Rattus norvegicus: one gene and its partners. The protein of the gene in region 1 interacts with the protein of each later gene in a pairwise test. Links are inferred from orthologs where the notes say so. Each region holds a gene or a part of one and is shown on either strand. Other genes may lie near its edges.

Region 1 (3,746 bases):
ACAGGCAGGGTAAAGAGGAGGAAAAATGGTTTGCTCAAGACACAGGAAGCAAGTGGTAAGTACATCTAAAGGCCCCTCTTTCCATACTTCCCTCCATATCACAGTTCATGCTTTAGGGGAATAGAGGGGGTCAAAGAGCCAGCTCCCTCATCACAGTGGGGATCCGGATCACACTGCTTTCCCCTGGACTGACTGGTACATACATACCATCTGGCTTTGCACTGCTTTGCCGATTTCCTATGCAGCAATGAGGCAATCCTAGACCACTGGTTTTTCCCATATTTCATTACCGCTGCTTTAAGAATTTCATCCTAGAGAGTTACCAAAGAGAATGCATTCAGTCACAAGCCTCTAAATGAGAAAAGACAAAACTTAAGTTAGTCCCCGCAGAGGTCCTGTAGAGAGAGGCACACGATCGTTAAAAAAATAAAAAAGGCATGGAAACTTTATTATTCAGTGGTTAAGAACATGTACTGCTCTTTGCAGAAAATGTGAGTTCAATTCCCAGCACCCTTATCAGGCATCCTGCCTATAACTCCAGCTACAAGGGGATTCAAAGTCTCTAGCCACTGAAGGCACCTGTACTCATGCACAGACACATAATTTTTAAAGTAAAATATATCTTTAAAAAAAAAGAGAGAAAGGACATCTTACCTGCCCCTCAACAAACTGGAGGTGGGAAAAGTCAATGCTGAAAACACTACTTTATGACAGACAAAATTATTCACCCATATGTACCTGCCATTCTCTTCAAAGATAGAGTTCATATTTATATTTACTCAAAACAAAAATAACAACTGCAACAAAAACAAAAACAAAAAAAGCAAAGCTTCCTGAATATCTACCTTGAACCAGGTCTCATTATATACTCCAGGAAAGAGAATCAAAGAAGCAACTTGAGACTCTGGTTCAACACATTTCCTCTCCATCATCCTACTAACCACAACAGCTCAGGATCCACATTTCCCTCTACCTCATCAGTCAGCACCATCTACTCCAATCTCCAAAAACTACTTCACCGGGGTACCCATAGCATAACCCAATCCCCAGACAACCTGCCAAGCAAACTCACAAACATGAAAGTCGTAGATCTTTCTTGAGCACTTTACTTTTAGGCTTTTTCCACAATGAACTTGCATTGCCTGCCTTATACTTAAGCCCCTCCACTCCATCTTCTCTCCCATTACTAATTGGTAGAGTCCCCACCTAGTATACATGAAGTCCTGGGTTAGATTCCCATAAGACTTTGCATGGCAGTACACACCTGTAATCCCAGCCCTGGAGAGGTAGAGGCAGGAGGGTCACAAATTACCAGTCACTCTCATCTACATAAGAAGCTCAAAGCCAATCTGAGCTACATGAGACCCTATCTCAAACACACACACACACCCCTCTGCAGGGTTTTGACCACTGCTGTAACTTAAATTTTTGTGATTCTACTTCTTCCTCAGAAATCACCTCTTCCAAGTTTAAATAGCCTGGGTGCATGCAAGACCCTTTTTAGTACCTCCATTTGTAAAGTTTTTCAGCACATCTTCAACCAAATACATGTGGCAGGTCCCTATCCTACAAGATTCATTCCCAAACACCACCAAGCAGCCTGCTTCATACTAGCAGACCAAAGCCTGGTCCTTCTGCACTGCTGTCTGATGAGGACAACAGCAATTCAACTTTACTGAAAGCCTACTAATGTGCCCAGCTGTGTTTGAAATATTCCAAACTGCCAACTCATTTCAAGAGCTCAAACACTATTATGTGTCTTATAAAAATGAGTAAACTGAGGCTCTGAGAAGTTAAACTCCGCCAGAACCACACAGAAGTGCCTGCGACAACAAAATGAGCTGTAGCGAATGAAAAATAGGTGCCACAAACCCACTAAACAACCAACTCTCAACGGGACGGCTTATGGGCAAGGACTCCAAGAAGTGTTCTCAGCTAAGTTTGGAGGAGACTCAGAAAGATGCCAAGCAATAAGAAGCTATCTCAAGAAGGTACGAGACGTAAAGGTACTCCTACATTCAGCGCATCCGATTAAATACACGTTCATTTCATTTCTTTTATTTCCTTTCTTCTCCCGTTCCGCTCACCGTGACATTATCTACTACATTTCTGGAAGCAAACACCACCCTATACTGGCTTCTATCCCAGCAAGGGTGGCGTGACTGGAAGGTAAGAGAAAGGACCTTGGGAATCTGCAGAACGGACAGACTATGCCCGGGGACCAGATAAGCAGAGAGGTGCAGACGTAAACGCGCCGCCTGCCCCCGCTAAGTAAGTCACTGAAAAACAAAGTTGCGGTCACAGCGCTTCGCTCTGCTAGAACTGACAAAGGAAGGAGCTGGAGAAAAACTAGGCTTCCGCGGGGGTCCCGTCGGAGCCGCCACAGGGTTGCAGGGGAGAGGAGGGGGCGCGTCCCTAACTGAACAAATAAGTGTTCAAGGGCCTAGCAGATGCCAGGCGGGGAGCGCCGACCGACAAGTCGTGACCTCGTTCCCGAGGTTGAGCCAGGTGACCCGCATCCGCACCCACGCATGGCAAGGGTCTCCCGGGTCCGCAGAGTCGCGGCCCCCCACGCAGACCCCCGCGGGACAGCCAAGGCTCCCGGAGCTGTCCGCGCGTGCGCACTCGCTACCGGACCCGGCGGAGGGCTGCGGACGGCGGGAAAAGCTGCCTCACCTCCGTATTCCTCCACACGCCCCCTTTGATCATAATCCGGGGCATCTTGGCGGCGGAGTGTCCCGGCAAGCGGCCGAGTGGAGCTTCGAGAAAGTAGTAACGGCGCTTCGGTCACGGGACGCAAAGAGGCCACTTCCTCCAAGAGCGACCTTCTGCTTTGATGAGATCTGCGCAGGCGCGGCGTGAGCAGCCCCCGGTAAATCTCGCGAGATCTTAGAGGCCGAAGGCGAAAGACGCGGCCTATTTTGGAACCTTAACACTGACGGAAAATTATCAAACCGTAGAGGCCAAAGCGCCCGACGTCGCGCGCAGGTCCCAGACAGGTTGGAGGAAAACAAAACTCTCGCGAGATGCCAGAGGTGGAACTTGGCCGGCAACGCGTGAAGGGATTGGTCCCGAAGTCACGGGGGGGCGGTACAGGGGGAGGGGGGTAGGGAAGTCAGGGGTGTGGCGTTCCGCACCACGCTAGATCGGATGGGAGCTTTGTTAGTTTATTTAACGGAGCGCCCCGCTGGCATCTAAGCGACAAGAACTTCGCGGAGGCCTCAGGGAGATGCAATAGGGTGAGTCTGTTCTCTTCTGGGAACTACAACCCGCAGTGCCAAGTGCCGAGGATGCTGAACAGATTCAAGGTCCTAACTGTACCCTGAGAGACGCGACTGCTCTCCCGAAGTGTTCTTTATCCTTCCTAGAAGAGCCGCGCAAACTTCACCTCAGCCCCCGAGGAGTTCACGAAGGTGCGCCCTAGGAGCCCTCAAAGTGTCGCGCTCGCGGGTTTCACTCATACCTCACTGGTGGGTCTCTGTGGAACAAACTCGGCGGGTTGAGGGAGACTTGCCCCTGGGATCCTGCGGCGGCGTCATCTGAAGAGTGGAACTAAGGGCGAACTCTTGTTCATAAAATCGGAGGACAGCTGCGACTTCATAAACACTCGGTGAGGTGGAACCTGTCAAACTCTCCGCTATCTCCTCTCCCTCTCTCCCACGCAGACTATTCACTATTCCAGAGCAATTACTTGGTGCCACCCCAGGTCCCTAGGGAAAGATTTTATTCCATGCATAGCGGCTCTG
Region 2 (3,646 bases), on another chromosome or scaffold:
TATGACAACCACTCCCAGCTCCTGCCTACAGAGCGCTACTCCCCAGACGCAAGCTTCACCCAGAAGGCCCTTCCTGAGGGTCTACCCACTTATTCCAGTCTGGGTACTTCACCCACCACCAACATATACCCAGTGGCAGGTCAAAAGTGTTAATTGGGCTTCCACTTGGGGCCTGCAGTCCTTCTGAGGTCATGAAGCCAACCTTGGAGAACATCCTGGCCCCTCTGGAAAACCCAACTCCACTGCCAAGACAGTGGTGGACCACATGAACCTGAGGACACATTTAAGGCAATACAGAGAAAGATTATGTCCACCTGTCACTGGTGGCTTAAAGCCCTGCCAGCCAACACACTACATAAGGCAGAGAGTCCATGGCCTGTACAGGAGGGTTCTATGCCACCCAGAAAGCTACCTCTACTCTCGTGTGGAGTCAAAGAACAGCCTGTAGGCCTGGGTCCCCAGCACCAGCACACACGGCCACACCTACCCTCTGAGTAGCGTGATTCAGCATTTCCTGCCAAGCAGAGTCAAACTGGCGCTTGTCATCCTCCAGCAGCCGCTGCTCGGCCAGGGAGATTGTCTCCTTGGCTGCACGGAGCACCTCAGTGGCCCTCTGGAAGTCCTGTGTGGCTTTCTGCGCTTCTAGCTGAGCCTGTTGAGAGAGAAGGTCTTGTAAGGCCTGAGGTGAAGCCCGGGGGTCCCTGGGTCCATCCCCCACCCCCAGAGATGAGTGGCCCAGGATTTGATCCACCTCTGCCTCCCTCTTGGAGGCTGCACAGGGAAGTCCCTCACGCACAGGATGGGGTTACAGGAGGCCGATGGCTGAGTGAATACCAGGTTGGTGAGCAGACAGCCTCCATAGTCTGGAGCTCGACAGACCTTGCATCTGTGCTGCCAATGGCTAATGAGGCCTTTCTCTGATGCCCTGGCTTAGGAATGAAGCCCAGGTGGGCATAGCAGTCCTGGGAATCTTCCCTGCACGTCACAGCCCAGAGTGCTCCAGAGACCACAGTTATAGGCCCCATTCTGCAGATGAGGCCTAGCAGCTGGAAACAGCTTTTCCTGAGACTGCAGAGCTGGTCAGAAACAAGGCTCCAGGCCAGGCAAACACCCCAGTACACGACTGCCAGCCTAGCAGCCCACTGCCAGGCAGCCCTCTCAGCCCACACTGACACCCAGGCCCAGGCCTACCAAGAGCACACGTCCTGCTTTCAGAAGGAAGGGAAACGCACACAGCAGCTGTGCTCCTATCTACGGCAGACAGCGTATGCCGGGCCTGTGTATGTCCGTGGACATGTACGTACAAGGACGTGTATGTCCGTGGACGTGTGTACATGGAGAAACCTAACGTTAACACTGAAGACCACTCCTCGGGAGCCTTGTTTTCTGTGACAAGGCTTCTCACTGGCAGGAAGTCCCCTGTGAGGCTAGGCTGCTGCCTGTGAGCCCTGGGATCCACCCACCTCTCGGTTGCTGGGGTTACTGCTGGGCCTGGCTTTCTTACGCAGGTCCTGTGGATTGGGAACTCGGTCCAGATGCTTGCACTGCCAGCACTTTAAAAAGTCTCAGGCCAACATGTAACCCCAGAGCATCTAAATGTGATTAACGAAAAATGTAAACATCCCTTACAGCCTAGACAGAGCTCAGGAGTTGAGGTGCTTGCCACACATGCGAGAGGACCGGAGGCTCAGATCTCCAAAGCTCACAAACGCCTGGAGGTGTGGCAGCTGCCCCAGCTCAGAAAATGAGGACGGCGGTTCTTGAAGCAAGCTGGTTAGAAAGACTAGCTGAAGAGTTCCGGGCTCAAAAACTGAAGCGGACCATTGATTGAGGAAGATTCTTGATTCCCACTCACCCACAAGCACATGTGCACACATAGCCATGAGTACATACATGCTCACATGTATGCCACATGTGAGTATACATACATGCACCACACACGTGCGTGCGCACACACACCAAAAGAATATCCACCTCATTTTAAAATCTCAGTAGAAAAATGTTGGTTATCCCATTGCCATTTTTCAGATGGATGAGATGTGAGATATACTAAACTAAGATAAACTGAAATCAATCTCATCTGTTTGTTTCCTCGTAGGTGACTCTCTACTACTTTAGGGCTGTTGGTGTTCCCCCCTCAAGAGTGGGCTGAGTGATGTGACTGCATCATATGCAGGGCTGGGAAGATGACACCTCCCAGGTAAAGTGCTTGCTATGCACTTGTGAGGACCTAAGTCTAAGTCCCCAGAGTCCACACAGAGCCGACCCGATTAGCATGCCTCTGAAACCTGGTGCTCCAGGGCGGGAGGGAGATGGCGGAGACAGCGGAATCCCCCAGATGCCCACAGACCAGGGCGGCTAGTGTGGTGAATGCAGAAACATAGCCACATCCTATCTCAAACAAGGTAGTCAGTGAGGACCCACACCTGAGGCAGTCCTCTGATGTCCACACATGCTCTGTAGCACGCTCCCCTAAAAGCAGTCAGTGGGGCCACACTGCTGACCTCTCTTCTCGGGCTCACATCCAATTTCCTGTCTGGCCAGGGGCGGGGCATGGCTACATGCTAATCAGCCCCAGTACCACTCCCTGAGTCCAATTATGAAAACCCTGGTGGGACACCCACAGGACAGCCCCTGGGACTTAAGAGGGGAACAAGTGGGCCCCACCCTTCCCCAGAGAAAGTCTCACATGACTCAGAGGAAGTCTTCACGTAGACTGTGGGTACTTTGCAAAGAAAATTAAGGGGAAAAGAAACGAAGAAGCTGAGAACACCACAGCCCTGGGGGAAGAAACAGCCCGGTAACCCACGGTAACCCGAGACGGGCATCCGCTACTCTGGTCTGTGCACAGCCACAGTCCCAGCCCTCCAGCCCACAGAGATCCACTCAGGGGACTGCGCCCCACATGTAGCTGATGTGCAGAAAGCTATGTGCAAGGCTATGTGCAGGGCAGGAGAATTGGACTTGCTTCACATAAGAGGAAACCCAGCAAAGTTTTCCTAAAGAGAGACCTGAAGGGCAGGCAGGAGCTGCAACTCAGGATGATGGAGGGAGGTCAAGGGGAGCGCCTGAGGTCAGACTCCAAAGATGGACCATGAGACAGGGTCTGTAGGAAATCTGATAATGACTGGAAAGGAGCATTTAAAAAAGCCAGCCTGGGCTATACAGCAAAATCGTGCCTCAATAATAATAATAATAATAATAATAATAATAATAATAATAATAATAAAAATAAAACAGCCTCAATGAATGCCCCCTACCAGCCATCTACATCCACTGAGGTAGCAGGAACCACACATAGGGATGGGGATGCCCACCCTCTCTAGAACCGATCAGCCACTGAGAAGTAACTGTCTGGCACTGACAACCCGACTCTCTCTCCAGCTGAGCCCCCTGCCCATTCTTACTTCTGCCACAAGAACAGTCTGGGGCCTCCATCTTTCCAGACGGGTCCAAGAAGAGTAAATCTGGACAGGTTTAAGGGAGATGAATTGTGATCCATCCCTCCAACCTCAGTCTACCTGCGGCTTCTCCACAGCTCTGAGACACGGGCTCATCCCCTGGGACCCTAACATTTTCTAAAACGCGATCTCTCTGTCCCTTCTTTCATTTGCTATCTATCTATCTATCTATCTATCTATCTATC
Region 3 (3,746 bases), on another chromosome or scaffold:
AAAGCACAAAGCAACCTTTACAAGTTGGGTAGGGAGGGGCAGCTGGAAAGGAATCTGAATTTCTGGAAGCTTCGTCCCTTTCCCTCCTTGCCATCTGTGTTTACTGTTAGACCTTCCGTTCTATGGACTCTATGGACTCTCCAGGTCCGCTTGGTTCCACCATGCATTTGAATCCACTTTGCCCTTGGCAGTCACTGAAGTTCTTTGAACCCTTGAATTGGAATCTCAGCAGAGCCGGGTGGCAATTTCAAATCTGGTAGGACAGCCACCTCACTTGGACTTGGATTGTAGGGCCCGGAGATAAGGGAGCGGATTAAAGGAGAAAAATGTTAGCTGTGACCCTGAATACATAGCATCTGGGGCAAGTGTTCTCATTTCAGAAGGGTGTTTATCGTGCGGAGAAAGTCAGCACGTGAGAATTTTGGCTTTACAAGGATCTTCACAAAAATATGAGGGGAAAAAAAACAAACCTAAAAGCACCCCTCCCCCCAAAAAACCCCCCAAACCACCACACACAAAAACCTAAAGCATGTATACATGCTTTACAGAGTACAAAGGTGTGTTGGGGGCGGGGTGTACTTAGACATTAACGTGGAAAAGAAAGAAATGTTTGTCCAAACCGTGCTTAATGTCATTTCCCGTTTTAAAGAAAAGCTTACCTGACGCTGCCACGCGGACCCGCCCAGATCTCCTGAATCTACCTTTCCATAAGGAAATTCCTGGCTTTCGGGTGCCTGTGTGAAAACTTGAACTAAGACACTTTCTCTGGGAACGAATTCTTTTTTTTAATGGGGATCGGGATATTTCTGATTGTAGTCGAAACAGGAAATTTATAAGGGTTGCACTTTAACGTCTTGAGGATCCAAACCTTGGTCAAAAATAGGAAGGTGGAAGAAAGGCGCTTGTGCAACAAACGGCCAATTATCTCACCCCTGCGTAGTCCAGCTGCAGCCGCAGCAGCCTAAGAGCTGCAACGCCCCATCTGCAGAGGCCGCTGCTGCAGGACACGCGGCCACTGCCTCGGAGGTCGAACGCACCTCCGGTCCCGTGCCGCACCCAGGAGTGCCGGGCTGGCGGGGAGGATGAGGGGAGTTGGTAAAATCATCGCCATGGCAACAGTGACGTCCATTCACCCTGGATCTAATTGGAGGAAACCCCGTGGCCGAAGCCGCAGCCTGCGGGCCAACCGAACCTACCCGAGCCGACCCACCCTCCGAGCCTCCGCTTCGCTTCCCGCCCCGCCCCCTGGGCCCCCTTCCGCGCGCTCGCTCTTTATTGGCCATTGGAGAAGCTGGAGGCGGGACTCCCTAGGGAGGTGCAGTGTTCTATTGGTCGGTAGCGAGCTCGTCGGCTCCGCGCTAGGCTGAGACGGGAGGGTCCTCGGCTAAAGCCCAAAGCAGATCAAAGTGGTGGGACTCGCGTCGCGGCCGCGGAGACTAGAAGGTGAGTTTGGGCACGGCTCTGGGCCTGCCGCTGCAGCCGCCGCCGCGTGGGACCGGGGCGGGGGTTGGCGGAGCTCAGTCCTCGGGACTGCTGGGCTACCGCGCGCCTTAGGGTCGGGCTGGGACGGGAAGGTGCGGCTCCAACGGCCGCTTCCATCTTGGGCCGGGCGGGGCCCGTGCTCCGGCCTCGGGAGGCGCGGCGGGCGGGCGGGAGGGCGCGGGCGGAAGGCGGCGGCCCCGCGAGAGGCCCGAGGACGCAGCCTCGTGCGCTGAGACAAAGCGGGCGTCCGGCTTCATTGTCTGACGTGCTCTCCCCTCGCTCCTTTTTGTCCTCTCCGGCGCCGCCCCGCCCCGCCCCTCGCGGCTCTCAGGAGGACTCCGGATCCGGCTCGGCGCTCGCCCTCGCTCGCCATGGAGAAGACCGAGCTGATCCAGAAGGCCAAGCTGGCCGAGCAGGCCGAGCGCTACGACGACATGGCCACCTGCATGAAAGCCGTGACGGAGCAGGGCGCCGAGCTGTCCAACGAGGAGCGCAACCTGCTATCTGTGGCCTACAAGAACGTGGTCGGGGGCCGCAGGTCCGCCTGGAGGGTCATCTCGAGCATTGAGCAGAAGACCGATACCTCGGACAAGAAGTTGCAGCTGATCAAGGACTATCGGGAGAAAGTGGAGTCTGAGCTGAGGTCCATCTGCACCACGGTCCTGGTGAGTCGTGAGTCGTGCACCGGTAGCAGTGAGGGAATAGGGCGGCGGGAGCGACCCTTTTGTGTGGTCCTCTCGATGGCGAGAAACCTGTGGGGTGGAGAGCTTGTGAGATGAGCCCCAGGCTTCTTCACACCTGTTTCAGAGCTTTCTCGGGGGTGAGTAACTTCCCAGGGTGTGGGTTCCAAAAACTTGGTACAGTCGCGTAGGCTTGCACAAGACCGAAAAGATCTATTTACTTGTGCCAGGAGTGTGGTCCTGAGATGTGTAAGTTCTTTTAAGGGCGATCGGTCACTTTGGGGGTTTCATGTGATAGAAGGCATGGGGACTTTTACCATAGAAATGCTAGTATTCCCCCGACTCCGGTAAGAATATATTTAGCCTTTCCTTGCTAAAGGGGTGTGTGTGTGTGTGTGTGTGTGTGTGTGTGTGTGTGTGTGTAGGGAGAATTCACTAAATGAAAAGTTCACAGATAATTTAAAGAATACAGTGTCCTGGTGAAATTTCATTAATTTTTTCTTTTCTGTTTGTTGCCTCACTTAAGTCCGGTGTGTGGAAATAAAACGAAAGCATTTCTGGTGTGAATGGTTAAGGAAGGTTTTCCAGGTTTTGAATATCCAGTCCCAGCAGGGATGTTAACTGCTATGAGATTCACCCTTATTAGAGGGAGCACTTTTAAAGCTTGGGTCATTGCACAGATCTCTTATTCAATAAAGCAAGTTTCTAAAATTTAAATAGCATACTGTGGAGTGCCAGATATTAATGCAGCAAACAGTTACTTCTGTGACTGCACATCGATAGGTAAAGGCTGGTAGAAAGTAGCTGCTGGGTTTGCCCTTTACATGCCACCTTTATAAGAGGCAGCTAGTAGCTAATAAGCTTGCTCTGTATCTTGCCTTTTGAAAGGCAAGCATGCAAGGTTTCATAGGAGAAGAAAAAGACTTTCCCTTCTAGCCTTCATTTCTTCATCACATCAAACCAAAGGAACCTAGAACTTTTGTTCCCTGCTGTGTAAAACTTAACCTACCTGTTTTTCTAAAACAAACGAGATTATCTGAGTAAAATCATGGTTGATAGATTCAGATGTTAGGGGTCAGAAGCAATCAGACAGATTTCAGAGTGAAGTGCAGAAAACTGTTGCTTTGTAAGGATGCCATTTTGTTGTGTTAACATGTATGTGCTCTTTAAGTTTCAGTCCCTGCGTAATAGTCCCTGTTCTTTGGTCTGAGTTTTTTACATTCTAGATATGTCAATTTGGATAATGCAGACTTTAATAGCATATATTGATGGCTATTATTAACACTTTGTGGTTTACTTTCTGGTAAATAGCCAGTTCTGAATCACCAGATTTTTCATGTAAGCTAGCAGTTTAATTTTGAAACAAAAGAATATTTTTTAAGGTTTATTTATTTTATATATAAGTACACTGTAGCTGTCTCAGCCACACCAGAAGAGGGCATCAAATCTCATTACAGATGGTTGTGAGCCACCATGTGGTTGTTGGGAATTGAACTCAGGACCTCTGGAAGAGCAGCCAGTGCTCTTAACCACTGAGCCATCTCTCCAGCCCCCCACCCCCTTTTTTTAAAGATGTATTTATCA

Evidence for each region.
Region 2: the proteins of Cdc5l (region 1) and Sh3bp5 interact in a two-hybrid assay, tested with the Homo sapiens proteins (2 studies listed by BioGRID and IntAct). The link is inferred for Rattus norvegicus from reciprocal best matches to the Homo sapiens genes CDC5L and SH3BP5.
Region 3: the proteins of Cdc5l (region 1) and Ywhaq interact in a two-hybrid assay, tested with the Homo sapiens proteins (2 studies listed by BioGRID and IntAct). The link is inferred for Rattus norvegicus from reciprocal best matches to the Homo sapiens genes CDC5L and YWHAQ.

What each region holds. Positions count from the first base shown.
Region 1 is NC_086027.1:23,061,477-23,065,222, reverse strand, and holds the start of Cdc5l (cell division cycle 5-like protein), read right to left. Parts: upstream 2,827-3,746; 5' UTR 2,722-2,826; coding exon 2,677-2,721; intron 312-2,676; coding exon 208-311; intron 1-207.
Region 2 is NC_086034.1:6,602,632-6,606,277, forward strand, and holds part of Sh3bp5 (SH3 domain-binding protein 5), read right to left. Parts: intron 1,460-3,646; exon of another isoform or gene 1,192-1,459; intron 653-1,191; coding exon 488-652; intron 1-487. UniProt on the Homo sapiens protein: Functions as a guanine nucleotide exchange factor (GEF) with specificity for RAB11A and RAB25. Inhibits the auto- and transphosphorylation activity of BTK. Plays a negative regulatory role in BTK-related cytoplasmic signaling in B-cells.
Region 3 is NC_086024.1:46,692,528-46,696,273, reverse strand, and holds the start of Ywhaq (14-3-3 protein theta), read left to right. Parts: upstream 1-1,398; 5' UTR 1,399-1,443; intron 1,444-1,813; 5' UTR 1,814-1,853; coding exon 1,854-2,147; intron 2,148-3,746. UniProt on the Homo sapiens protein: Adapter protein implicated in the regulation of a large spectrum of both general and specialized signaling pathways. Binds to a large number of partners, usually by recognition of a phosphoserine or phosphothreonine motif.